Rattus norvegicus: one gene and its partners. The protein of the gene in region 5 purifies or fractionates together with the protein of the main gene of each other region. This does not show direct contact. Links are inferred from orthologs where the notes say so. Each region holds a gene or a part of one and is shown on either strand. Other genes may lie near its edges. The genes, in order: Cpsf3, Cpsf2, Cstf2t, P4ha2 and Fip1l1.

Region 1 (5,594 bases), on a different chromosome or scaffold from region 5:
ATCATCCTTCCTGTAGGAATCTGGACACGGTCCCATAAATGGTACAGTTCTCCTTAAACACTGTCTGCACGGATACTAAAATATTCTTAAACACTGTCTGCTCGGATACGAAAATATTGCTCAGCCGAGCTGGCCTCTGTCAGGAAGATTGCTGTCCTCATGTTCAAAGGAAGGTGCTGAATAGAATAGGGGCCCCAACAGAGAGTACCCATGCCATGGTTGGCAGCTTGTCCTGTGGCTGCAGTGTACTACAGTGTACATCTCCAGAGTGCCACCGGCAAGGAGCCACCCTGGTGTTCTTGGAGATGTCGCCCTAGATGGACCCTTCACGTGATGTCAGAGCCCGTTCAGTATAGGTTTGTTCCCGCCTCAGGGGCATACAGTGGGCAAGAAAGTGGAGCTGGTCGCTTCCTAAGCCTTCCTGCATTGGCTCCTCTGGCACATGAGTAAACAGACAGGCACATCCAAATCCTCTGCTACTGAATACACAGGCCTGGTGTGTGGGAATCGTCACTTGAGCCTCTGGTGAGCATTTGGCTTGTAAGGAACGGCGGCGTAAGTCTTTGCTGGTTCTGCTCATCCTGGCCTTCAGCCCTGTGAGCAGTGCTGCTGCTGCTCTCTGTGCTCCGTGTGGCTGATGTAGCTCAGTGCTGAGAGTGAGCGGTCGCCTGATGTGATCCCAGTCCCGGAACCCAGCCCAGACTGAGAAAGGTTTCAGCCAGGCATGGTGGTGTACATTTGACAGAAAGGGGAAGGAGGATGAGTTCAAGGCCAGCCTCAGCTACATAGCAAGTTTGGAGCCAGCCTGGACTATACAAGAGACCCTGTCTCATAGAATCAAAAGCCAAAAGCAATAAAAAGAAGCCGGGTGTGGTGGCACATTCCTGTCATCTCCACACTTGAGATGCAGAGGAAAGACAAATGTGAACCCAGCCTGGGTCTCGACAGTAAGACATCGCCTCAGGGGAAAAAAGGAGTTTGTGCACATGTATGCACACTTCACAGGTCCTGAGGAGGGCAGGGCTAGATGTTAACTGTCCACCCTCCAGGGAAGCAGAGGCCATGAATGGTGCTTTCTTATGTAGCAGGTATTAGCCAGGGAGGTATATGTGGGTGTGCCAGGGTGACCTAACTCTGGCTTCAAGGCAGCATATCTTTTGACCACCAAGTTGTGTATTTCTTGGGGTTAAAAAAAAACTAATTATTAATAGGGAGACACCCTTATGTGTATATATTTTTAGTTCTGTGTATTTATGCATGTGAGTGCAGGGCCACTGTAGAGCCCACAGTGGTTAGACTCCCTGGAGCTGCAGGCCGTTGTGAGCAGCCCCATGCGGGTGCTGAGAACCTAACTCCGCAAAAGCAAGACAGTGCTCTTAGCTCCTGAGCTCTCTCTCCAGCCTGAAGACTTTATTAAAACATTCACAAGCAGATGATGTATGTTAAAACGAACATAACATTCAGATACAAAAGAAATCTTTGGGGGCTGGAGAGATGGCTCAGAGGTTAAGAGCACCGACTGCTCTTCCAGAGGTCCTGAGTTCAGTTCCCAGCAACGACACGGTGGCTCACAACCATCTGTAAGGAGATCCGATGCCCTCTTCTGGTGTGCAGGAAGACAGCTACAGTGTACTTATATATAATAAATGAATAAATCTTTAAAAAAAAAAGAAATCTTTGGGCTTAAATGTATGCTCTGAAATTGTTGAACCTATAATGTTGCTTACCTCTCTTCAGAGTGGAAGTTTGAGAAATATGGAAGCAAAAGTGAACTGAGAGGTCAAAGGACATGAAATAACACAGTGCACATGAATGTGCCTTAGTGGGCAAAGAGACATATCACAGGCTTTTACTATGAAGTCTCCACGGCTACTTCAGGCCTCCGGAACTGTGCTGGGACCGGTGTGCTGACCGTAAGTGGGAATATGGAGGCTGATGTGTCTGTCTTCCAGGTGCAGTGCAGAAGGTCTCTAAGAAGCTAGAGATGCACGTTTACAGCAAGAGGCTTGAGGTCATGCTCCAGTAAGTGAGGGGCCGGGCGGGCAGCTGTGCAGCTATGTGGGTGGAGTCCCCATGCTGCCCACGTACCCAGTCATGTCCAGGTTCACACTGTATTAGCGCTGAGTGCCAGTGCCCTGCCTGGTCTGTGCCCTGCCTAACCGGCCTTGGGGGATGTTTAGGAAGCTAACAGAGTAGTCCACTGGATGCCAGAGTCTCAGCCCAGTGTCGCCGTGCCTTTAAGAATTATTTTAAATGTTTGCTCATGTGTGAATTACTTGGTAAAGCAGGTGTACTAGACTCCTGAGTTTCTGACACTGGTGTCTTTCTATAGAAGTTCTTTAAGCTTCATTTAGGATGCTCTTCCAAACAGTCTTAGAAAAGTCTCTTAATAGTAGATAGCTAACTTACAACTTCATCATCTAACGGTGTTGAATGAATGAATAACTTAGTTTTTCATTTTAGGCAATTGCCTGCAACAGACAGGGGGAAGAAAGATACATTTTGCCTTATAGTTTCAGAGGGCTCTGCCATAGCTAGGTAGCCTTGGCTTTGGCCTCATGTGGAGAATAGCATCATGGTAGTGGGACAGTGTAGTAGATGAAGTTCACCTGTATGTTCTGTGCTTCAGAGTCACAGGCTGTACCCTGAAGAGTCACAGGCTGTACCCATCAGTCATGCTCCCAGTGACCAGCTTCTTCACCTAGGCCTACAGCCTGCTTCTCAGTGCACTTGTGGCAGTGCCCGGGTTCTGAGTCTGTCAGAGTAGGCATCAGTGGATTAGGTCAGAGCCTATCAGCCGGTCGCCAAGCACATAACATTGAGCCTGTGGGAGATGCTGCAAGTTCAAACCCTGACAAAGACTGCTTCTGCCTTCGGATTGAAATTGACCTAATTAGACATCTTAGTATTTGGAAGGTTTTTGAGTTGCTTACATTTTTCTAAAATTTCATACTGAAATTTTAATAATGGCTTTTTATTGTTTTGTTGTTGTTTTGTTTCATGTTTTAGAGACAACTTCACCATATTGCCCAAGTTAGTTCCAAACTGGAAGGCCACAGTCAAGTATGTTAGAGCTGCGTACAAGTCAGCAGCCATTCTAGGCACCTTAGTGAGACTCCATCTCAGGATAGAGTGCATGGTGTGCCATGTCTCTGCCTAGTGTGCGCAAGGCCTCAGTCTTAATCCTCAGTATTAAATTAAAAACAAGAGCAAAACCAGAGCTTGCTAAGGCACAGTGGAGCACCATCCTGGGCAGGCTGTTTTAGTAAATCTATAGTCAAAGGAGCAGCACATCTCCTGGGCAGCCAGAGCATCCGAACACGGAGGAGTTAGAGGAGGACTTGCACCTTCTCCCTAACAGGTGAAGTTGGACTTTCCCAGTAATGCCAAGTTTCTGTTCACTTACAGGGACATATTTGGAGAAGACTGTGTCAGTGTGAAAGATGACTCTGTCCTCAGTGTCACGGTGGATGGAAAAACAGCAAATATTAATTTGGAGACTCGGGTATGTAGCTGTCCGTGTGTCTCAAGACACCTGGGGCCTGGGGTGAAGACAGGAATCAGGCTGCAGCTGGCAGTTAGGTGCTGCAGCTTGGTGGCTGAGGTATAGCTCGGAGGGTAGGTGCCTCCGTAGCGGAAAGAAGCCTTGGTCCCTGGAAACCGAGGTGGGCAGTGTGGAAGTTCATGCCTGTATTCCCAACACCCTGGTCCCTGGGCTTTTCTTCTGTTTTGTTTTATAAGATAGGTTCTTATATATAGTCCAGGCTGGCCTTAGCCTTACGTGCTGGGGTATCAGGCAGTCACCACTAGACCAGCTTTAAAAAAATAACACCATAGCCTAGGCTAACCTAGAACTCTGTAGCCCAAGCTGGCCTGGAACTGTGTTTTGTAGTTGAGCTATAAGACGTGAGCTCCCTTAAGCTGGGTGGGTGGTGTAATGCATGTGTGTCAGCCACAGCTCAGGGAGCTGAGGCAGAAGATCCCCAGCTCCAGGTCAGCCTGAGTTAGAACAAGACTGAAGTTAGTCTGTATAGTGAGACTAACAGAGTCTTTAAAAAACAGTAGCAGCAACAAAGCAGTGGCTGTTGCATGGTTACAGTCAAATTAGCACCAAATGGTGAACAATTCAGCACATCATTGCTGGCTAAGTAATCCATGCCACACAGGCTAACTTGCCTCGAAGGCTGAATAGAATAGGGCTTTGGTCCAAAGCTCTGTGCGTGCCCCCCCCCCCCTTGGCTCTCCAGTCACTATGTTGACAGAGATAGTGCGGGTGACAGGAGGGTAGGTCAGTGGCTCACATCCTGGCGATCAGCCTCCAGGGCTTAGAGTGTTCATTTTCGTCCAGGGGATAATTGTAGGCTGACGTCAGTGCTTTCCCTTTCAGGCTGTAGAATGTGAAGAAGGAAGTGAGGATGATGAGTCCCTCCGAGAAATGGTGGAACTGGCCGCCCAGAGACTGTACGAGGCTCTGACGCCGCCAGTGCACTGACAGCCTTGCCTCCCAGCACTCCACCTTTTACACTTGGCATTCACTTGGGTTCCTTCAAATAAAATACCTTAGTTTCTCTGGGGTGGCCTGTTACTTTTGCATCTGATGGCGACTACTGCTAGACCACCAACTAATTTGCCCACTATTCTCGAACCAATCATCAAAGGAGCTACTTATTGATCATTGGTTTGGCTTCGGGCATTTATGCAGTGTGTGCTGAATGGTCTGTACTGGCAAATCTATTTTCAGTTGAATGCAAACGTGCCTTAGCTTTGAAACCTGTTCTCCACCCCTTACCCAATTCCTTGGTTTGTGTCTATAAAGCCACCACTTTTAGGACTCATCTCTTTGTACGGGATCTGACACATTTTATGTCTCAGATATATTGTGTGGATTAGTTCATTAGTCTGATTTTCGAAAGTACATAAAATTCAGGCTTGAAAGTAACCCAATTGAAGGGAAAAGGGATTAGATTTCAGTGATGTTATTTCTCTGATGGTGAAATTAGCCAGTTCAAGCCAGTTCAGGTATATATAAATGCATTGGTCCCAAAGATCAAGAATAGGGACGTTGCCATGAGGAGAAAGGAAGGGAAAGAGAGCATGGGGAGGAGGGAGGGGTGTCTGGTGTACTACCAAAGAGCCTCTGGAGGAAGGGCAGCCTAGCCCCTGGGACTGAGGGATGCTGGGAGAACCCTGAGGTCAGGTCTGCTATAGGTAGGTAAAATATGCACTTCAGTCCCTTGTAGGAATTGCCTCACCTTCAGAGCACACTATCAAACCAAAGAGCCTCACCCATGTAGCCTGTCTTGTCTACCTCCCCTCTTAGGTGTGTAAACACTCTCCGGTGCTTTGCTAACAGTGTTAAGTCTGACTCTTCCTTAAATGAAATTTCTATAAAAACAGCCAAATTCCCATGTCTTTGGCCTATACCAAAAGCCCAAGGCCCCCATGACATGCAAAAAATTATTACGGTTTTTTTTTTTTTTTTTTCGGAGCTGGGGACCGAACCCAGGGCCTTGCGCTTGCTAGGCAAGCGCCCTACCACTGAGCTAAATCCCCAACCCTAAATTATTACGTAAGCTAAGTATTTCAATTTAATG
Region 2 (5,780 bases), on a different chromosome or scaffold from region 5:
TCATTATCAGCGAGGGCTGGGGCCTTCCATGTGATTCTGTCCTGTAGTCATATTTAGAACCTTGTTTTAGAAAGTGGCCAAGGATCCTCAAGACCTTACAGATCACTTTGTCATTGTGAAGATTGAGGATCTGAGGAGAGGGTTTTTTAGATGTTGATCATATTGCCAGAGTTGGTTAATGGTAGTGATTGTGTTTAATCGGTTACCTGTACCCTGTGGTTTTCCCTTCCCCTCCCCTCGCGTGTCCAGGTAAGATTAAAGGACTCACTTGTCAGCTCGCTTCAGTTCTGTAAAGCGAAAGATGCTGAGTTAGCATGGATAGACGGCGTCTTAGACATGAGAGTCTCCAAAGTGGACACGGGAGTTATTTTAGAAGAAGGAGAACTCAAGGATGATGGAGAAGACTCTGAAATGCAAGTGGATGCTCCTTCAGATTCCAGTGTCATAGCCCAGCAGAAGGCCATGAAAAGTCTGTTTGGAGATGATGAGAAAGAGCTGGGTGAGGAGAGTGAGGTCATCCCCACACTGGAGCCTTTGCCACCTCATGAGGTGAGAAGCCTGTGCCATCTCTGCGTCTGTTTAGTGGTGCTGGATTGATGGGGCCTCACACGTGCTCACCACATGCTCTGCCGCTGAGCTACATCCCCGGTCTAACTGTCTCTCCATTGGTTGTTCTTCTAGCTCCCCGTTGTGGTTTTAGCCATTTAAACTACATTGTATGGGGGCCAGTTTTGGAGTTCTTAAAAAGGAATACCCAGGATATATGTCTGTGTATCTTGATCTCTGTAGCTAGAGAATGATAATTTAAAGGAAACCTTTAACATGTAACATGTTCTCAGGAGGGACTTGGTTAATTAGAAAGGCTTCTGGGTAATGACACTAGAGCAGCATCAATACCGTAAGAGTCCTACAGACGTGTCCAGTGACGCCTTTAGCCTGCCGAGGGGTTGGGATAAGGAGATGGCCCCTTCTATTGGCCTCTGAGCTAGCACGACTCTTGAAATTCAGGGGAGACGTGAGGAGGCTTTTCCCTGTGCTACAGCGACAGTGCTCTTCAGAACACTGTCAGAGCAGCAGCACTAGGCAAACCACTCGCTTTTCTGACTCTCAGCCCGGAGCACCCATCACGCTCACTCTGGGGTAGGAGGGAATGTGGAAGTGGGATTAGGGACTTAGCCTCTGAACTAAGCAGGGGACTGGGTCCTGGGAAATGAGGTTCAGTTCCATTCTGCCTCTTGATACTTCAGTTGACCCCTCCAGCAAGTGGGTGAGTGAAGAGCATAATATTACCTTGAGTCTCTGTTATTAGGAGGCATGAGTAATAAAATGGTGAAACATCAGAAGGTGTGAAGGGCTCTGTAATGGTGAGTGACAAAGTGAACCCAGAATAATAGACTCAGAATGTTATTTGCAGTCTTGAAATGATCTGTCAAAGGACTTGAGGGAATTACTAAAACTATCTTAGACATCGTGCAGTGTTCTACTTTATCCAGTACAGCTTTGTGTCTACCGTTCTATTGAAGTCCCTCTTTGCCCTTTGACCTTATTCAAGGTTCCCGGACACCAGTCAGTTTTTATGAATGAACCGAGACTGTCTGACTTCAAGCAAGTTCTTTTGCGGGAAGGGATTCAAGCGGAATTTGTAGGGGGCGTACTTGTCTGCAACAATCAAGTAGCAGTCCGCAGAGTAAGTTTATTTTTAATAAGGGCTGGGTTGAACGAGTGCTTCTGAAGCTTTATCATAATTCTGTAGTCTTATAAATTCATAAAACTGAAAACCATCCTCAATGATGGCTGTAAAGGCTTATAGCAGTGATTCTAATGAATGGTGCATAGTTTTATAGTGAATTTTTATATTTGAACCCTCTGACATTTACGTGTCTGTAAAACCCATTACTACAACCTTTTACCTACATTCAGGAGTCAGGGCAACCCATTTCCTGACCAGTCATGAAATGGCCCACGTAAATGTTGCTTATTGTTTCTGCGTGTTGATGAACGGGAGATGTACTAAAGAACTTTTAAAACTGTTTTTCTAGACAGAAACTGGACGCATCGGGCTAGAAGGCTGCCTTTGTCAAGACTTTTATAGGATACGAGACCTTTTATATGAACAGTATGCCATTGTGTAAAGGACGTCATGTCAAGATGTGTCTGCTTGACCTTTCTCAGGAAGAAAGGATTCTCATCTGAGGCTAAACTTTTGCTGTCTTGTTTTGTAACATACAAAAAGAATGTGCCAGAAAACGTGAGCATGTGTTAGATTTTGAAAAATATGAATCAAGGGCCTGGGGTGTAGCTCAGTGGTAGAGCTCTTGTCTAGCATGTGCAAGGCCCTAGGTTTGATTCTCTGTACTGAATAAAGAAAGAAAGAAAATGTAAATAGAACCCATTTTGTAAATGCTCTTGCCTAGCTCTGAATGCTAGAGGCCCAAGGAAGAGACAGGCCCAGGGCTGGAGGGGATTGGTTTCCTCTGCAGATCCTTGTTCCAAGGGCTCATTACTTGAAGAAGAAGAAAAAGGAGAAACAGACAGACAAACAAAAGGAACAGTGCAACTTAGCAAACCAGTTCATGGCCTTACAGAAACTGGTGTGCATGCATTTGTTCAAGCAGTTTTTTGTGTTTTCTGGAATGAGAAGGGAGAAATTGTATAGAGAGAATATGCTATGAAAGATAACAGAAGCTTTGTGAAACATTTTTATTGAGAATGGGTGTGGCGGTGCTGCTCCTCTTGACCTCTGATATGCAACCGCTCCACACGGAGCCCCCGCCCTCTACTTTCAGTGCGGTGTGAGGCAGTACACAGCTAGTTTAGAAACAAATTTTTATTTCTCCCATTCCTTGTTTATTAAGATTTTGTTGTTATTCCATTTGAATTTATGACCTCATCATTTGAATAAATGTTATCTAAAAGAAAGCCTCTAAGCTGAGTGTGGTACGTGCACTTCTAATCCCGGAACTCAGGAGGCTGGCATAGGAGGATTGGAAATTAGAGGCCAGCCTGAGCCGCATGGTGCGAGCCTGTCTCAGCCAGCAAAAGGAAAGCCTGGTGTGTTACCAGTTCTGCATATATTTCATTTAGACTCATCTTAACTATTGGTCCAGTAACTGTATTTGAAACCATCCAATGCTCTGTTGTTTTTTGTTTTGTTTTTTTTTTTTAAAAAGCAAATGTGGAGCCTCACATTTTTATAAGGTAACAGTGTGATTTAATTAAAGGGTGTAAATGTTTTCCTTTCCCAGCGTGTTTTCTAAGTTTATGTAAACAGCGGTTGGATTTTATGCTTGTTACTACAAAAACAGTACTGAACCCGGGTAACTGCCACTCTTGATACAGCACAAACTCTGTTCGAGAGTAAAAACTGAAAATATGTAATTCTGTTGACTTGAGCTGTGAACCATGTTGTCCTATTGTATCTTGTTGGTTTAATTTTTTAGAAGGTAGCTTAAGCAAGGCTGTCCTTGATGCCTTCTTAAGCATGGAAGCCCCTTTCTCTGCACTTAGCATCCGGAGAAGCCTCACTCTTGCTTAACTTTGGAACTGTATATTTCAGCCCAGTGATCCGCTATCGGTCTAGAATTAGTCTTTTATGCGGTTTCATGAGCTGAGAGAACCTTCAGCTGTGGATTGCAGCACTGAAGCAAAGTTTGTAGCCTTTGGATCCTGAAAACCAGATGTACAAAATAGCATTGCAGAGATGAGTGTAAAAGAACGTATTTTCCTTTTAGCAGTCATGAACCATTCCACTTGCTCCTCTTGCTATATAGAGGAAGCCTAGAATTCAATTTCTATTCCAGGGGAAGAAACCCTGCAGTTACATGCTATAAAGCTCTGGATATACCTATTATGTGGTAATACCTATATCTAAAATTATTTCTTGCCTAACCTTCCTGCCGACCTACGAGCAGGAATTAGATGTTAAAGTACCCCTTGAAGAATGGCTGTCATACAGCAATGCCACCGGAGAGCAGCACTGCTGCCTGTGTCTAGATGACATCATCCTAAACCCCCTGAAAGGGAGGCCTTCATTATTGCCCCAGCTACTTGAGAAAAACATGACTTTCAAAGACAACAGTGGGATAAGTCACGAGAGCAGAGAGGGTCTCAGATGCAAGAATAAAAAAAAACCACACAGCATGTGAGACATGAGCTGATATCTGCAGATAGTTTTCTTAAAAAGAAATTGTATCTGGTCGCAGTGACACATAACCTGGAATTTCACCTACTTCATTCAAACTTGGCTTAAGGCCAGTCTGGACCACATACGACCCTGCCCAAAAGAGGGAGAAAGGCGTTGGGGCTATAGCTCAGTGGAAGAGTCCTTCCTACTGGCACGTGTGAGGCCCTGGATTTGACCCAGGTCTGGAGGCCGAGGGCCTGCTTTTACTGAACTTGTTGCAGTGTGGTTATACTTGTCAGGCGTCTTTGCACTTATTTCTATATTTTTGTGACTCAGTAGGTGACCTGAGACAATAGAGAAGAAATTAGTTTGTTCACCTTTTTTGTGTGTCTGTGTGCAGTTTACATACCATAAAATATTTACTCTTTTTAAATATGCAAGTCACTGGTTTTGGTCAAATCTACAACCATTTCTATGTAATTCCAATTTGTTTTTTCTCATTCCTAAAAGAAACCCAGTAACTGTTTGTACCCCCATTTTCTCTTCTCTCTAGTTAATCGTCAGTCTTTCTGTCTCTCCTGGACATTTCATAAAGAATCATGTAACACGTGGCCTTGTGTGTCCTCTTTCATTTCAATGAACGGTTGTTTTCAGGATTCGTTAATGTAGTAATGTGTTAGCATAATTTTTGTCTGCTTTGGGATGTGGTCTTGCCTTGTATAGCTCAAGCTGGTTCAGACTCATAATCCTCCTGCCTCCGGTGTGCTGGGATCATGGCTGTACACTTCAGTGTCCATTTTATAGTCCTTTGACACTCCTTTGGATGTCACGACTGTTCTTCAGCCAATGTACATTGAGTGGTTCCCAGTGGTCTTGGCTGCTATAAAGAATGTTGCTTTGAACATTCTCGTACAAGACTTTTTTAAAAAGAAAAAGAATAAATAAACATTTGTGTATTTTCTTGTGTGTATGCTCAAGAACAGGATTGTTGGTCCATGTGGTAACTTCGCTTAACCACCTAAGGAATTGTGTATTGTGAAGCAGCTACACTGTTTCCGTGTTCCGACCAGCATATGTGTAAGGATTCCATTTGTTGCTGCACGGGTTGTTGATTCTGTCTTCTGTTCTCACCACACTCAGCCAATGAGGAGGCACTGCCTGGAGGCTCTGACTACATTTCCCTAATAAATAAAAGATGCTGAGCATAACGTGTCTCTTGTGCTTATTGGATGTTTTATATGTCTTTGGAGCAACATCTCCTCAACTCCTTTGTCCGTTTGCTGTTTTATCTTTTTCGTTGTTAAGCTTGGTATGGTCTCTAGATATTTCTGTATGTGCATGGTAAATACTCCCATGGCTTGTGTTCACTTTGTTGGTCACTTGATGGGAAACAAAGTTTATAATCGCAAGGTCCATCCCGTCTCTCTCTTCAGTCGCTTGTGTTCTTGGTGTCATTCTTAGAAAGCATTTTCTTTTTTCTGAGTGTTTTAATGTATTTGGGGGGGAGGGGTAGGTGTAGGATTGCCGTAGGGTGCATGTGGAGGTCAGAGGACAATTTGCAGGGATCGGCTCTCTTCTTTCACCATGTGGGATCCAGGGATCAAACTAAAGTTGTCAGGCTTGGTGGCAAGCACTTAACCTGCTAAGCCATCTTGCC
Region 3 (5,844 bases), on a different chromosome or scaffold from region 5:
CTGAACACAGTATTCCAAAGGACACCCATGTCTGATGTGGGAGGTGTCACAACGGACTAGCAGTATCTTCCTCGTATTCCAACTGTTGAACTACATATACAATAATTAAAGGTATCCATCGGTTTCCTAGTTTCACTTTTTTCTACAGATGTATGCATGCATGTATCTCGTAAAAAGTTATTTCCCAATGTATTAAATAAAACGTACAAAATACCTTAATTATATAACCTTTTTATTTAATTTTCATGAAACAATGCAGAGATTTTCTTATAACAAAGACTGTAAGAAGTTTTGGGCTAGCAACTGCAGTCTCGAAAGAAGCAAGCAATTGGAATTAGTCAGAACTAGCACAAAGGTACAGACCACAAACCCACCTCAGCATAGGAGGCAGAGGAAACCACAGGAGTCTAACACTAGCACAAAAACTAAATGGCTGGAAAATAGCCTAGGAATGAAAACTCTGTACACTCAAAAATGCTCAAACTTTGCAAGGGAAAACAACCTTGGGTCAGCTCCCTCCCTAAGGCTGCTCATCCCTCTGTAGGTGGGTATTTATTTTTCCACAGAGGAATGCCACTTGGTCAAGTGGGAGCTTGTGCTTGTTTCTGCTCATTATCTAAATATGACACCGTGTCCAGGTGCCACATTGATTGAAAATGATACAGTAGCTCTAAAAGAAATGGATTAAGTTCCACATTCCTTATTCTCAAACACACTTCATGGGAACTACGTTATGACCAAAGAGCTTTTGTGAGTTGTGAGAAATAACATATTAAGTTAACTGAGCAGAGTTGTCAGTTCACTTGGGCCCCAGTTCTAGCAAGGTGATGATAGAAAAGTAGTTTGTGAAAGTTATCAAACTGTAAGACATATCAAAAGGCATAGAGTAAGATTTTAACTTCTGGTTCTTGCTGACCTAATGGATTCCATCTGTGAATGGATAGTAGGTTATCAAGAACTTGGGAGCTTTACTGAAAAACAAAAACAAAAAAACCCCAAAAACCTCCATTACTCAAGAAAGTCAAACCTCATGTCTGATTCTTTAAAAGGATGTGAAAAAACTACTTACAACCAGACTTGGGCCTTAAGAATTTTTTAGAGAAATGTATAAGAAGGAGGTTTTATGTAATTCAGCTGACACTACAACTATCCTGCAAAATTACCAGTTGGGATCAGGCAAGAATATTAATGGTCTCAAAAAAAAAAAAGTCAGATAAATGAAAATTATCTTTTTACAGATAACAATGCTTTAAAAAAACACACATCTACACCACAAACTGTTAGCTCCAATATTTCAAAATAATTCCAAAATAACTAAACATTAACCTTACTACAGTACTCTGCTGCCTCCAAAATATAGTAATTTCTTTTACCAAAAAGTGTACCTTAACATTCTGACATTCAGTTCAATATACAACCAAAGAACTTTAAACTATCTTAGTATATCAATACTGTAACAAGCCACTTTCAATTTTTATGTAGTTCCCAGTTTACTCAGTATTTTTAAAACACAGTTAACAAAAGTGCAAATTATTGCCGCATTTTCCTCATAACCTTATTTTGTATGATGTAGTCATTTTTAGGGTACCCAGTAGAGTCAACAGTGACAAAGTAAACAGGCCCCCCCCCTCCACCCCCTCCCCTCAATCAAAAAATAAAAAGGAAAACAGAAAGTAACAAAACTAGAAATAAGATTTAAGGTCTGGGGAGAAGGAAACCTTAAATGGTTAAAGTGTGCGAACACAGAAGACAGCTTTTTGCACCCACTTCATGCCACAGAGTAAACCCTGAAGGAATAACTAAGTACTTCTTAGCTGAAAACCTTTCAAGAAGCACCCGTAGATTTCTGGATTTGTTCCTTTAAAATCAAAATGCTCTGCCTTTGCTCAGGAGGCAGCATGGCAATCTGATCTGCAGTCAGCTGAAGAACCTGCATGATCAAAGCTGCTTTTTCTTGATCTTGAGGAGTTACCTGGCTTTGCCCCGGGCTAAAACTACTAGGCTGGCCCGCACCTTGCTTACTGGCTCCTTGCATGCCAGCCCCCTGCATCCCTCCTCCCTGCATGCCTGCCCCCTGCATCCCTCCTCCCTGCATGCCTGCCCCCTGCATCCCTCCTCCCTGCATACCTGCCCCCTGCATTCCTGCTCCTTGTATACCTGCCCCCTGCATGGCACCTCCAGGATTTCCCACTCCTGCAATGTTTGGAACCTGTCGAGGTCCCTGAGGGCCACCTGCCCCCATATTAATGGGGCCAGGACCCTGGATCCCACCAGTCATCGGACCTCGGGAACTAGGGCCAGGGCCCCTCATCTCCAGTCCTCTTGCGTCTATGCCTCTTGCTTCCATCCCTCTGGTTTCCATTGCACAGGTCTCCATTCTTCTCTCCATTCCTCGTGGCTCCAAGACCTCCGTTTCCATGGGCCGGGCCTCCATCCCTCGAGAGTCTCTTCCTCCTCTACCATCCATAGGTAGACCTCTTTGATCCATCATGGGACCTCTGGGTTCTCCAATCAGCATTCTGGGATCTGCTGCCAACGGTCCTCCTCTCATATCATGTGAGGCAGGGCCACGGTTGTCATGACCATGATGCATTGGAGGACCCTGATGGGGTGGTCCCATATAGCCTCTGGGCTCTACTTCTCCAGTCACTGAGAGCAAAGTTCCTCCACGCGGGTCATTTGGAGCATCTCCCAGTAGTCCTCGAGGAGGGATGCCACCAGAAGGCATGGGTCCACGAGGCATTGGAGGTCTAGGATCTGATATCTGCATCTGTCCTCGCTCTAAGGGCACTGGACCAACCACTGGCATGCCAACCTGTGGCTGCATGGTTCCTCCCGGGGTTAAGGAACCAGGTCCAGGTCCAGGAACTGCAGCTGGTATTGGCCCCGGAGCTGGAATTCCGCCCTGGATCGAGGTCTGCATCAGAGGAGGAATGTCCTTCACAGGTCTTCTTGGTAAATGCTGAGGCTGAGGGGCAGGATTCTGTTGGTTCAACATGACGTTAGGTCCTGGGCAGAGGCCAGGGGCAGGGCCGGGGCCAGGGCCGCCAGGGCCACCAGGGCCACCAGGCCCACCAGGGCCAGGCCCAGAGACAGGCTGTGATTTGCCTGGGATCAGTGGTGTGACATGGATCTTACGATGCAAAATTTTCAGTGCAATCTCTGGATCCATGATTCTCATCACCACTTGTGCCTGCAGCAGAGCGTACGCCAATTGTGGGTTCTGAAGTAGCATGTTTCGAGCTTCCTGGTGACTGTTTTGGACACACAACTTCATTTGCTTCATCAGCTCAAACATTTGCTCTGGGGGCAGGCTGGCGACTGCCCTAGTAATCGATTCTGGAGCATCTTCTGGATCAATAGGGTCCCCATAGGGTGAGTCAATGATGGGGGCTGCCGGGCCTAAGCTTTTTAACTCCTCCTTGTTCTTTTCACTGGCAGCATTGTCCACCCGAAGCGCTCTCCCACTAAATTCTCGCCCATTGAGGTTCCGCATGGCACTAAGCGCAGTCTCCTGGTCTTGGTACTCGCAGAAGCCATAACCCTTGGGCTTTCCTGTCTCTCTATCGTAGACGAGACGGAAACTGACAACTGAACCAACCTCCGAGAAAATGTCCTTTAACTGCTCCTCCGTCGCCTCATACGGAATGTTCCCCACGAACACCGAACGCAGTGATCGATCCATGGCTGGGTCTCTGACCGCCAAACTCGACATGATTCCTGCCGAGCGTTTAGCGGAGAGTAAATTCGTCCAAGGGTCGTCCTCTGGTGAACCACACTTCCGCTCTGTAACGGAAGCAGACACCAAACTCCGGACCGAAATCTTTCTGCTAGAAATCCATAGTTCCGCTAGGCCGCAGAAACTGCTTCCTGAGACCGGACTAATTTATCTTGCACCTTCCGCCCCCGGCCGTGCGCTCTGCTTTACGCGCCTAGTTACTGACAGTGGGATTCCTTTCCATGATCCTATTGGTCGAGTTTCCCCCGCGTTCCGCCCCCCTCTCTCCCTTCCTGCGGTCGCCGGATACATTAGAACTGACCTCATTAAAAATGGCCGATCGGACTTCACTATGGTTACGGGCAGCATCAGCGTCTCGGCTCATTGGGGGCGGTTTTCATTGCGTTTCACCTGCGGGAAACCGCCAACCGGAAGCTGATTTAAGGCTTAATGTTTTAATTACTGATACGTGTGTTTACACAGCTGATTTCGTTTAGCATAGAATATTTGAAATATTTTAAATCTTATTCAAGATTTTGAGGTAAAATGTTGATATTTGTCCCTTAAACTATCTTAAAAACATTAAAAAATAATTCTCGCAAAGATAAATTAACGCTTTGGCATGTTCAAACTGTTACTAGGTCCAGGATCCTCCCGGTGTCTTCTGTGTGTGCAGGCTGTGATCATTCCTCCCTCCTCTTACGAATTTTAAGCGACATAAATGCTAAAGTGGAATTAACTAAAAAGTATGACTGCAGAGTATGGATGAATCGATTTCATTTAACTTTTATCGTACACATATAGGTAGTTGGGATTGGATTGATTGATTGACAAGGTCTCTATGTAATCCTGACTGTCCTGGAGCTTGGGCTGGCCTCCAACTCTCAGAGATCCTCTGCTTATGCCTTCCAAGTACTGGGACTCAATACCACACCCAGCTAAACTGTATATCATATCATATATAATGTACATATATTTTATATATATAATGTGTGTGTGTGTGTGTGTGTGTGTGTGTGTGTGTGTGTGTAAATAAGACGGGGGGGGGGGGGACGGGGTTCCCAGTATAGTACTGTAAGACTGAATTCAAAGGCAGCCTGTCCTACATATTGAGTTCCAAGCCAACCAGAGCTACATAAAATGAGAACTTTTAAAACAAATACATTTTATTTAGATGTGTGTGTGTGTGTGTGTGTGTGTGTGTGTGTGTGTGTGTGTGTGTGACTTTTATAGTTGTGGACTATATAGATCAAAAGGGCTACTCGCAGGAGTTGGTTCTCTCCTTCTACCCTGGGATCAAACTTGATACACAGGGGCAGTGCTTTACCCACTGAGCAGTCTTCCTACTCTGCGTCTTCGAAGTTGAATTTTAATGTTTCTTATTTTTAAAATTAATTCCAGCACAATTAAACCAATGTAGACATTGGGCGCAGGGTACTGTCCTATGACAAAATGTCATTGATTCTGAATAAACACAAGCATTATCAATTAAAGTTTAGCATTGTAACCAATGTTCTCTGTATAAATAAAATGCATTCAGAATTTTGAAGACTAAGCACTAGAAATGTATAAAACAAAATTCTTGCCAGTTTTATACTTTGAATACTGCCTTTTTTATGACCAATACATAATTTTCATAGCTCTAACTTGGAAAAAATCCAAAAACATCATAGCTTATATTTTGGTTTGTTCTTGGTTTTTTAGAGTACACTGTCACTGTCTTCAGACACACCAGAGAGACATTACAGATGGTTGTGAGCTACCATGTGGATTTGAACTCCAGACCTCTGGAAAAGCAGTCAGTGCTCTTAACCACGGAGCCATGTCTCCAGCCCCTTGGCTTTGTTTTTGTTTTTTGAGACAGGGTTTGTCTATGTAGCCCTGGAACTTAGTCTGTAGACCAGGCTGGCTTCGAACTCAGAGATCCACCTGCCTCTGCCTCCCAACTGCTGGGCTTAAGAGAATAGGGCTATGGCTTATGTTTTGAAGAAATCTGTATATGGTACATTTTTACATTCAGTTGTCAATTAATTCAATAAATTAAGATATCAGGTGTACTAAAATTAGTTTCGTTGTTTTAACACGGTGCCCCTTGGCAGCCAGGGTGGCCTGAAATTCACTGGGCA
Region 4 (5,102 bases), on a different chromosome or scaffold from region 5:
AGGGCGGTAATTCTCCCTTTAACACCCAAGGAGGCAACCCCCTGCCCTGTGCATCAGCAAATGCCCACCTTCCAGCCTCAGCTGACGTTGAGAAAAATGCAAACAGGCAGTGAAACCTGCCACGTTGCCTGCCCAGAGCCAGCGCTCAGAACCCCAGCCTGACTACCAGCCCCATCCCAGGTCTCACCATTTTGATGCCCTCCCCTCGACACAGGCTCTCATACACGTCCCTCTCGGGCAGGTAGTCTACAGGCCTCTCGTACAAGTTTTCCTGCGATGCTAGTCCAGCGTCCGTCTGATTCGACAATGATTTTCCTCTTTCTTCCTCTAACAGCCGCTCAAAGTACCGCAGGTTCCCTCCGGCTCGTTCATGGCTCGGGTCTAGAAAAAGGGAAAGAAAACCACAGACTTCTGTGAGGTCATCCACGGAGACTGCCCTGCGAGCCATTTCTTTCCCATTGGTATGCTACGCTCTGCTGGCTGCAGCACCTAACCTGGGCTCGTCACTCCAGCGACAGGGGAAGCACATTTAGCTAGTAACTGGGGGGAGGGGAAACCTTCTCAAGCCTCCTGGAGGCCCCTCGTGTTCTGAGTTCTGCCTCCTCCCTGTCATTAGCTGTAGCTATTTAAACCCATTCCCCAGAGTGTAGCCAGGTCTAGCAAGCTGAGATACTGGTGAAAGAGAAGGGCTGCAAGGCAGGCCAGAGGGCTCGGCAGGTAAAAGTGCTTGCTGCCAAGCATGACAACCTGAGTTCAGTTCCCAGGACCCATGCGGTGTGAAAAGAAAGGACCAAGTTGACAAGAGATGAGAGAGTTCTTCTCTGACCACAGGTACACTGTGGCACTTGTACACTGACACCCCCTCCCCGCCACCACACGCACACAATTAATTAATTAAATACCACGACTCTTTATTTAAAAATAGAAGAGTCCCAGCTCTGGTGGGCATCACAGTATCCGAAGCAACCACCACAGCAGGATTTCTACGTCACTCTCCAGGACAGCAAGACTGAGTGAGTCCCAGAGATGTTCAGTGACTTCTCCACACAGGAGGAGAACCAGGATGTCCTGAGCCCTGTCCAAGCCTCTTACTAACTCACCTGATGGGATCTATAAAACCCTCTACCCTTGTTGGTCTTGAGGGATGCTCAAATGGGAGCTGACCTCACACTTGAGCCCCCAGAAAGCAGTGGCAAAGCCAAAAGCCAAGTCCTCGCTGCTCTGTGAAACTCCAGGCAACCACATTTCCATGTATTAGTAAGAGGCGCAACTCGGGGCGCTTCAGAGACTCGGAGCTTTGGGTCTTGTTCTGTCCCACATCACAAGACATACAGAAGACAAATGGCATGGTAAGTCCCACTTTAGACCTCAGCTGGAACTGCTGTCACTGCGGCAATCCGGAAGTAGGGGACAGCTTACTTCTCAAGCTATAGTTAACATGGTGAGGGGTCCACCCTGCATAGTGGTACAAGCACCACAACACTAGGTCCTTATTTTTAAAAGTGCCATGGCACACACACATGTGCACACGCACTCGCACACGCATGCCCATGAACGTACCACACACATGAGCAACACGCACATGCACACAAGGATGCTAGGGGCATCCTAATATGAGGAGTCTGTACAAGAAGCTACTCAGTGATTGAAATCATGGAAGACACACGTCACCCTCCAGGTAACAAACGGACTGATTTAGTTCCAAGAGACGATCAGGTGGGAAAGTCAAGTTCCCTTGCTACCCCAACTCCCTAACCCCCTTACCAAGAGAGAGCAGGCGACGGGTGAGTTCCACCGCACGGTGCAGGTCACCCAGCTGGAAGACGGCATAGCTCAGGTAGTCCAGCACCAGGGATTTGGTAACAGTGGCCTCCTCCCCAGCATCCAGCTGCTTCAGCACCTGCTCCATCCACAACACGGTGTGGTAATAGTCTCCTTCGTTGTAAGCTGAGCGGCCCATCCCAAAGCAGTCATCCACACTCAGCATGGCCTGGTACTTTGTTCCTGAAGCAGGAAAAACAACCATCGGATTCCGAAAGGATGCTGGCTTAAGAAGGGAGATGCTCACTTTAGAAAAGGCCTGGATCATTGAAAGGGGCACATGACCCAAGCCAGAATACCACCTGGACTTCACGCCATGCACCATGAAATGTCATCATACGCACATAAACAGGTTAGCTTAGCTCAAGTTAGAGTTCATAGGCTAAGGCTCAGACTCCTCCTCTCAAGTGGGAAGGGGCTTTGTGAGAGGGGGTTCAGAAATCCCACCCAGACGCCGCCCTGAGGTCAGCGGCATAGTCTGGAGGGCAGATGGCCGCCGTGTAACTCTGAAAGCAGGAAGCGTGGCTGAATTCAGGCGGCATGAAAGCTCTACGTGAGGGCCATGACATGCAGGAAGAGTCTGAAGGAGGAACGAACAGAGAAGGTTCAAGGCTGGACCTCAGGGAACATAGATGGAGTGGCATGAACAGTGACTAAGAGGAACAGGTGACAGACACCAATGGGGACAAAGAACAAAGGCTGCAGTCCGGTAGGGATGTTAGAGCAACGGCTCAGTGAGCCTCATGCCTAATGGGACATCTGCTGGGGAAAGTGACCACAAAGACAGTTCCGACCTGAGAAACAGTATTAGCTCTAGGGAAGACGCAGAGCTTACGAGAGGCTTGGGAGGGCAAAGACTGTGTGTTCCTCAGAGAATAACCAGAGGGCAGGTCCCACAGAACAAGGAGGGTTAGGACCTCCCTGCAGACCACAGGAATCTCCCTATTAAGTGCTATTGGTCGTGGCTGGAAAGCTCGACCTGCTGGCACATCACTCTCTTTGCCTAAAGTCCATAATGGGCATCTTCCCAGAAGGAAACCCTACTGCAGTGACCAGACTCTGTTCATCCTGGTGGCTCAGGATCTGGGGTAGGTTTCTCAAGGAACATGGGATAGGGATGTCAAGAGAGCAAACACAAGGTGTAGTCATCAGCAGGCCAAGGATGAGGGGACTTACGGGGCCCCTTTCCTCTCTCCACAAGTCTCCCTGAATCTCCCCTCTTTGGGCCCAGGAACCTATTGTGGGCAGGATGTGTAACATACATAAATAAGTTGTGGTCTGGACCCAGATGGGGCCTGGATGTGCAGACCTTACTGAATACCTACCATTTGTGTGACTCTGGGCAATTTACCCAGCCTCAGACTCAGTCCCCTTTCTAATCAGATATCTATCTACATAGAGACGCCAGCATCAGTTTTAAAGGACTGGAGCCAAAAGTTCAATGGGATGACCTATGACGACATTGCCTCAGGATGTTAAAGACCAGCAGCCATAAGCAACATGTCTTGTGAATGCCAGGAATGTGAAGAATGACTTCCAGAACTCAGCATCCTCTCTACAAGCAAACTCAAGTGTCTGCTCCCTGAACTCCCTGTGGAGTCCTCCACAGCTAAGCTGTGTGCTGAAGGGTTATCTGACAGGGAGGAGCCCAGAAGGGGTAAGAGTACTGGAGCAGAGGGATGAGGATGCTGAGAACAGCAGGCAAGGAAGCCAAGGAGGCAGTGGGACCTCAAAGACCACCTAGAGGGAGACTCTGGGGTCACTGTGAAAGCTGAGCATTGACCTCAAGTGGATAACACAGAAAATTATCCCACATAAGCTGGAGATATGAAAAGGGTCAGAGGGCATTAAAGAGACAGAATCCATAGACTACGGTTATGGCTTAGGCTTCCAATGGGCAGAGGTGATTTTTGCACCTAAGCTAATAGATAAAGACTAAGGGTAATCAGTTCAAAACCAGATGGGAATTTCGATTTGGAACAGATGAAACTATATATGAAACTTGTGGAAACTATAGAATGTCCAAGTTGAGATGTCTACAGGCATTGGCCTATCCTGGCCGGAAGCCCAGGAGGCAGGCCTTGACAAGGAACACAGATCTGCAACACATCAAGGGATGGCAACCAGGAGCCTCCGTGGGGAAGGACTCAGAGTGAATAGCGGGTGAAGTTCTGGACAGTAACTCCCTTTGCCCTCTGACCCCTTCAGGGCACCCAGGGGCCTGTTCACTGTGGAAGGATGCTGTCAGGATACAGCTCCCTTCTACCGCCAACCATGCCTCCGAGCTACAAGTCAAAAAGCCTCCCAGAATTACCTCCTCTTTCTGGCCTCATAGTTGGGCTTGGCCCGACACCTGACTGAAGCAGGAAAAAAGAGAGCAGTCCTCCCTATCAGCTCAGAAGAGTCCTCCATACCAAGAGCCTGGGCCTTGACTAACCAGTAACAGGACATCGAAGAAGGAAGGCAGCTCCTACCACCCGTGGGTTCTCTGCTATATCTCCCCTAGGCTCCCAAGGAGTAAGGTAGTGTTTAAATCAAGAATGAGGTCCAGCTGGATCCTTGGGAATATTGGTCTCAAATAACCCCCTAAGGCCAGCAAATCTTATAACCACTAGCAGTGGGCATTAAGCAAGAAAAATTTAAAAAGCCAATTTAAAGAACAAACAAAAGCCGAGGGATGAATTATCAGATGAGTCAAAAGAGAAAAATCTGAGATCAGCACCCAGAATCTAGAACATCAGAGAGAAAGAAGTGAACGGCGCCAGATGCTACCGTGAGGTTGAAGTTATACCTGTAATCCACCAGCTGGCTTTACTGGCCCAGTGTTCCTGGTGAGTTTGAAGAACAGGATCTCAGACAGAAGGCATAAAGGCTCTGTCGGCTCAGGAGCATGTGGGAACCAGGGAAAATAAATCACTACCCAGCACCCTCATCAGGAGAGGAGAATGGGCCCAAAAGAACATTGGGTCTAGGGTAGAAATCCAAGAGATGGGCAAACACAGAGACTTCATAAAAAGTCAGATGACAGAGAACAGGGAAAGGGGGATAAACAAGAAATGAGCGGCCAAGGGGGACTGTATATGAACTCGAGGAGAGAGCCCAGAGAAGTAAGGATTGAATGAAAGGGAGCAGACTAAATGTCAGTGGGACATAAGCAGCAAGTCTACAGATCGGCCATGACAGAAAGCAATGCGAGGCTCAGGGATGGAAGCAGGTAAGCCATCCTCCGGGAGTGCGATGTTCGGGGAGTTTCCTGAGCTACAATTCTCTACTACACCAGA
Region 5 (5,818 bases):
GAAGTGGCAAATGAGTATACCCAGGATAAATGTGATATTGTAGTGAGATGAGTTCATAAGATAAGAGGCAGGAGATGGTGTATAAAATCGTCAAATTACCCAATGGCAATGTTTCCCATCGCAAATGGAGAGATTAATCGTAACCAAGGAAGCATATTTATACCAGGAATTTGGTGTAGGAGGAAGGCAGGCAGGCAGGAAGGGGCCCTTTAAGGATGGTTATTAGTGGTTTATGAGCTTCTCTGCTTATGGAAATCATGTTCAAAGCTCAGCTCAAGTACTACCTCCACCACGCAGGCCTCCTACCGCGCATTCCCCGCCGGTCACTGATTCTTTGTATTAGTCTAAACAGTGCTTTGACAGACGAACTCTTTTCCACACTGGAAGGAAAAGCAATCCACTCTGCGAAAGACAATCAACCCTCTCCTGAAACCATCCAATTTTATTTTAGATGCACGAAACTGTAAAATGGAGCTAACCACGGAGAGTGCCTGCCTGCGGTACTCTCAAGCACACAGTAAACCTTCTTTCTGTTTCTTGTATCAAGGGCCAAAAAGATATGGTGCACCATACAACAGATGGAAGGAAAGACGAACAAGCTACGTAGTCAAATAACACAGCAGCATGTGGTCTAAAAGAGAGTTAGCTCTACTCTAGTCCCCTCCCCCACCCCCCAATCCTGCTGACCTACATTCTGCCTCTTGCTCTATTCCAAATACAGTTTGGTGCCTGGAACTCCTAGGTCTCTGCTTCTTTGCCTGTTCCTAATCTCCTTGCCAAGTGCCCCAATCCAGAAACTTCTCCATGTAGGGATCTATTTTTTTTTAACCACCTGATATAACACCTCCTCCCCTTTAATCACTTGGCTTCAGGTCTTTTTCAGCTACTATTATTTTTAAATCATTATCAATAAGATGGTCTGCATTCTATGTGTCGCTCTTCCATTAGAATAAAATCTTCGTGAAAGAAAGATTTTTTTTTTTTTTTTTTTTTTTTTTTTTTTTACTGCCCAACCTATATAGTCTTGAAGAGTTTCTGACACTGGGCAGACTTTCATACGCGTTGGTTGAATACAGGGAGGATTTTACAGAGGAGATTGTACTTAAAAGTTGAAACAATACGAGAATTTCCTACAGGGGAACAGGGCATAGCAAACAAGAGTGAGCGCAAAACTAAGAATTAAAACCCACACGATCTAGTCAGAAGGTCGGCTCTCCCCCATCAATCACTAATTAAGAAAACGCCCTGCAAGTTTGTCTACAGCTTGATATTATGGAGGCATTTTTTCAACTGAGGTTCCCTCCACTCAGATGACCAGTTTGAGTTACATTAACATAAATAAAACTTTCAGGCCACAGAGTCTCCCAATGTAGCCTGAAACTCACTAAGTAGTCCAGGTAACCTGTCTCTGCCTACCAAGTGCTGGAATTAAAGGCATACTCCACTATGCCGGACACTAATAATTTTTTAAACAAAGAGAATGCATCCTGTATATATTAATTTTTTCTTTTGTTGGTTGTTAAAATTCGGACGAATTGACAAGTATGATTGTGGGTCAAGCAAACACGTGCGGGATGATGGCCTTCCGGATTTTAAAACGAACAAATAGTGGAGGGAGAAAAGCAAGGACAGAAAAGAACAATGGTGTAGCAAAGGGAACTTGGGATTGGAAGGAAGGTTGGGGGAAGGGAACTTCAAAGAACACCAGAAGGCAGAGAGAAAGCTACTGCGAGAAGCAAAGCTGGAATCCTAGGGGTGGGGTGGGAGGGGGAGGAGCCAGTGCGCGGCGCCTGCGCAGCGAGAGGCCCAGGTGCTTGCCGCCGCGGAAGCGAATCCACCTAGAGACGCCGCGCCGCTTGGATACTGCTGCGCATGCGCAGGCGGACCAGTTGCTGAATATTCACGGTCGCCGCCTCCGCCGAGGTCGACCCTGGATTTGAGTCTCGCGCTCTCTTCGTTCGCTTACCAGCGGGTTCCCTCCCCTTCTCGCGCCCTGAGACGGCGAGGCTGGGGAAGGGGTTGAAAGGGGCTGTTGATCGTCGCCTTTAACTTGTTCGAGGGGCGGCCATGTCGGCCGGCGAGGTGGAGCGTCTGGTGGAGCTGAGCGGCGGGACCGGAGGGGATGAGGAGGAAGAGTGGCTGTATGGCGGTACGGAACTTCCTGTCTGTCTCCCGGGTTCTCTCTGGCCTTCCTCCCGGCGTTTCAGGCCCGGGCGTCCGAGGCCTCTCGTACTAGCCCTGGCAGGCCTGCGTTAGGCCGAGTGCGGCCTGCTCCGGGCCCTCGCCCGGACCCGCAGGCACTCACCGCGCGGTGGACGCGGGCCAAGGAGGCCGGGCAGCCCTGCTTCGCCCTCCTCCCCACCGTCCCGGCCTCCTCGCTTCTGCGCTCTCTATTCATGCTCTTTCTATCGATCCTGAGCTGCTTCGGTGTCTCTTGCTATTGGGTGCTCCTCCTCGTCCCTTTCTTTCAGAAACAGTCATTCTGTAATAACAGCTAAATAAAGTCAATGCTATTAAACTAATGTCTTGTTTCTTGATGGTCAGTTTGTATGGAATGCACCTGCAAGGGTACCTCCTTGTCTGAAAGTCGTGCTTTAAAAATATTAATTAAGAGAGACAGAGGTGGAGAATACACTATGGTCAACCCTGAGTTGTCTCCTGTATTAAGGTGAAGTTTTTATTTATTTATTTTTTTAGAGACTGCTCTATAGTCCACGTCATAGTTGTACCTCGTGACTCTTCCCGTAGGCTTGTATTCAGTGTTTTGTATTTGTGTCCCCAAATTGAATGCATCATGTACTTTGTTTTTGTAGAGGACATGTTTGATGTTTAAGTCGTAATCCGCCTTGGCTCTTTGTTACACCAGATTTGAAAGTATTTTGTTATTTCCCAGAACATACATTCTTGACATAAATTGTCATAGATTACATAAAAGTGAACGTTGGAGTCTAAGCAGCCTTTTAGTGATGTAACTCCGATCAAATTGTAAAGTCGATTATGTCTTTAATAATGGAAAGACAGCATTGGTACTACCCTTAAAACGTGAAAGTGTGAGGTTTCTTTTACGATGATGTGTAAATCCTCATCGCCTCTTAAATTAAGTTTACATTAATAGCAGTAAAGTCGTGTTTTTTTTTTTTTTCCATAAGAGATGTGTCTTGTTTATAAAGTGATCTAACTTTGGCTATGCTCGCAGGCCCGTGGGACGTGCATGTGCACAGTGATTTGGCAAAGGATCTAGGTTAGTGCTCATGCTCTTCCCTTCAGATTTTTCTACTTGTTGCTTAAGCTTGGTTTCCTCATTTACTTTATTTTATTTTATTTGGTAGATGAAAATGAAGTTGAAAGGCCAGAAGAAGAAAATGCCAGGTTGGTGAACTCTCCTGTTGATGCCCTACACAGATGGTGATTCTAGGATGCCGTCAGTAGTTTTATTATAATCCTTGGTGGGATTGCATTTTGACCAAAGGTTAAAGGACCTTTCCTATTTCAGGATCAATTCTGTCTTGCTTTCTAGCAGCTTATAGGACGGTTCTTGGAGTTAGGTATTTATTTGCCAACCTCTCCCCCTTGAGTAACTTTCACCCTTAACTGGGCTTAGCAGTATATACAGTGGAGTTGGGTTTTTGTTTTGTTTTTCAAGACAAAGTTCTCAGTGTAGTGTGTCTACCCCTGGCTGTTCTGGAACTCACTTTGTAGACCAGGCTGGCCTTGAACTCAGAGATCCACCTGCCTCTGCCTCCCAAGTGCTGGGATTAAAGGCAGAGCAACTACGCCTGGCTGAATATGGTTGTTAAATTACTAAGAAAAAAAATAATTTTCTGTAAGAAATAAAATAACTGAAAGTTGTTGCTTTCATAATTTATTAGTGTTTTTATAGTATCCTTTACTTTTGGTATAGTTTTTTTTTTTCTTTTCTTAGAAACAGGCTCTTAGTGACAGGCCTGGAATTCCCTTTGTAGACTAGGCTGGCCTTGAACTCAAAGACATCTGTCTGTCTCTAGAGTGCTGAGATTAAAGGCATGTGCCACAGTGCCTATGCTTGGCGTGGCTTTAGTGCTTTGTATTTTAAATTCATAATGGAACTAGTTTTTTGGAAGGAAACTATGCTTACTACTATACCATGAACAGAATAGATTTTTTTAAGTTGGTTGTTATTATGCAAAACAGTATTTTTACAGTGTCCAGGGAGCCAAACATTCACTCAAAATTCCACAACTAATGCATATAAGCACATGGCTAAATTGGCTTGCGTTTGATCAGGTGACTGTCTGAAATAATGAGGGAGGAGTGGTCTTAGAGCAATTAAGGGCTGGAGAAATGGCTCAGTTGGGGACATGCATGTGGCATAAGCATGTGGACATGAATGACTACATCCTAGGAGAGATTAGACAGGATGATCTCTAGTACTCACTAGTTCCTCTATACTGTTAAACTCCAGGTTCAATCCGAGACTGTCTCAGAAAAGAAAGAAGAAGAGGGATTGGGAAGATACCTGATGTCTCTGGCTTCCACATGTATTATATATACAAAACATTTAAAGAATATTAAGATTTTCAAAGTGGAGGGGTTAATGCTTCATACCAAGCATGATAGCTATAAACCAAAAGGCAAAAGAGCTATAATGAAGATATGGAGAACCTGGACTGTTTGTACACTGCTGCTGCTATTGTAAAGCGGTGTCTCCTCTTGGGAGCTTCCTCAAATGTTTAAACAGTTAATAATTAATTAAGCAGTCCTACTCACTTTAAATCAGAGAAGTGGAAGCTCACATGAACACAAGTATTTGAACATTACTGTTCTTAGCATCAGTCATAGCTAGTCCATAAAATGGAAATGACCTGCCTGTCTACCAAAACAAAATAATAGGTTCAATGTAATGCACCTTTAAGGAAGTGTCTCCTGGAAGGAAGAAAATTGAGTACCGACTTGCTATGGTATGAGTGAACACCTGAGCGTGTGTTAAAGCAAAGAAGCAGCTACAAAGGACACAGTTTGATTCATAAAGTTTCCAGGATAAGCAAATCCATAGAGAAGGAAAGATCAGTATGTGAGATAGGAGAAAACGGGGATGACTGGTGATATATACTTCTTTTGGGAGGCTATGTACATAGTCTAGGATGTCATAGCATAATTATTACACTGTGAGCAAAGTATATCCCTTTAAGTATAGTCTTTAAATGTATGGGCAAATTATGTCTTAATGGAGTTTCTAAAATGAACACTGGTGGTGAAAATCCATTACAAGTAACTTCTTTTGTGTCAAAAATTTTAAAAAAGGAATTAAACCCTAGAACAAAGGATACATGGAAGGGAGTAAAAGGAGAAATAGCCTCCAAAGAGCTGAGATTTTTGTGAGCTGATCCCTAGTACTAAATTTTATTATTTAACTATAATTCTAACTTTACTTTGTGGTTTTGTTGTTTGTTTTGTTTTTAACTGTATATGTCCATGCACCATGTTCATGCCTGTGGAGCACAGAAGAAGGCATGGGATCCCCTGGGACTGTGGTTCAGGATCGATTGTTGTGAGCTCCCCATGTGGGTGCTGGGACTCAAACCCACAATCTGGAAGAGCAACAGGAGCTCTGAGCCGCTGAGCCAGCTCTCCTTCCTCACAGTTCCCTTTCTCATTGCTCTTTCTTGAGTTCTCTGGGACACAGTAGTAGTTGATTGGAGTTAACCCTTAACCCATCTCTGCCTTCTCCAAGTACTGCTGCCTATGTCTGTTGTTTATTTCTTTTGAAGTTCTGTGTGTGTCTCATCCCATCAAGCATTTGCGCTTATATTTTTACTTTTTTAGAAAAAGCTTAACAATT

Evidence for each region.
Region 1: the proteins of Fip1l1 (region 5) and Cpsf3 purify together in Homo sapiens (affinity purification with mass spectrometry; 5 studies listed by BioGRID and IntAct, with this or other methods). This does not show direct contact. The link is inferred for Rattus norvegicus from reciprocal best matches to the Homo sapiens genes FIP1L1 and CPSF3.
Region 2: the proteins of Fip1l1 (region 5) and Cpsf2 purify together in Homo sapiens (affinity purification with mass spectrometry; 7 studies listed by BioGRID and IntAct, with this or other methods). This does not show direct contact. The link is inferred for Rattus norvegicus from reciprocal best matches to the Homo sapiens genes FIP1L1 and CPSF2.
Region 3: the proteins of Fip1l1 (region 5) and Cstf2t purify together in Homo sapiens (co-immunoprecipitation; 3 studies listed by BioGRID and IntAct, with this or other methods). This does not show direct contact. The link is inferred for Rattus norvegicus from reciprocal best matches to the Homo sapiens genes FIP1L1 and CSTF2T.
Region 4: the proteins of Fip1l1 (region 5) and P4ha2 purify together in Homo sapiens (co-immunoprecipitation; 3 studies listed by BioGRID and IntAct, with this or other methods). This does not show direct contact. The link is inferred for Rattus norvegicus from reciprocal best matches to the Homo sapiens genes FIP1L1 and P4HA2.

What each region holds. Positions count from the first base shown.
Region 1 is NC_086024.1:46,588,204-46,593,797, forward strand, and holds the end of Cpsf3 (cleavage and polyadenylation specificity factor subunit 3), read left to right. Parts: intron 1-1,737; coding exon of another isoform or gene 1,738-1,793; exon of another isoform or gene 1,794-1,934; intron 1,935-1,952; coding exon 1,953-2,022; intron 2,023-3,408; coding exon 3,409-3,505; intron 3,506-4,387; coding exon 4,388-4,492; 3' UTR 4,493-4,570; downstream 4,571-5,594. UniProt on the Homo sapiens protein: Component of the cleavage and polyadenylation specificity factor (CPSF) complex that plays a key role in pre-mRNA 3'-end formation, recognizing the AAUAAA signal sequence and interacting with poly(A) polymerase and other factors to bring about cleavage and poly(A) addition.
Region 2 is NC_086024.1:126,912,304-126,918,083, forward strand, and holds the end of Cpsf2 (cleavage and polyadenylation specificity factor subunit 2), read left to right. Parts: intron 1-249; coding exon 250-549; intron 550-1,552; coding exon 1,553-1,687; intron 1,688-2,039; coding exon 2,040-2,132; 3' UTR 2,133-4,496; downstream 4,497-5,780. UniProt on the Homo sapiens protein: Component of the cleavage and polyadenylation specificity factor (CPSF) complex that play a key role in pre-mRNA 3'-end formation, recognizing the AAUAAA signal sequence and interacting with poly(A) polymerase and other factors to bring about cleavage and poly(A) addition.
Region 3 is NC_086019.1:238,363,982-238,369,825, reverse strand, and holds Cstf2t (cleavage stimulation factor subunit 2 tau variant), read right to left. Parts: upstream 3,785-5,844; 5' UTR 3,716-3,784; coding exon 1,826-3,715; 3' UTR 218-1,825; downstream 1-217. UniProt on the Homo sapiens protein: May play a significant role in AAUAAA-independent mRNA polyadenylation in germ cells. Directly involved in the binding to pre-mRNAs.
Region 4 is NC_086028.1:38,756,761-38,761,862, reverse strand, and holds part of P4ha2 (prolyl 4-hydroxylase subunit alpha-2 isoform 2 precursor), read right to left. Parts: intron 2,005-5,102; coding exon 1,765-2,004; intron 382-1,764; coding exon 188-381; intron 1-187. UniProt on the Homo sapiens protein: Catalyzes the post-translational formation of 4-hydroxyproline in -Xaa-Pro-Gly- sequences in collagens and other proteins.
Region 5 is NC_086032.1:34,025,876-34,031,693, reverse strand, and holds the start of Fip1l1 (pre-mRNA 3'-end-processing factor FIP1), read left to right. Parts: upstream 1-1,940; 5' UTR 1,941-2,067; coding exon 2,068-2,149; intron 2,150-3,196; coding exon 3,197-3,241; intron 3,242-3,329; coding exon 3,330-3,369; intron 3,370-5,818.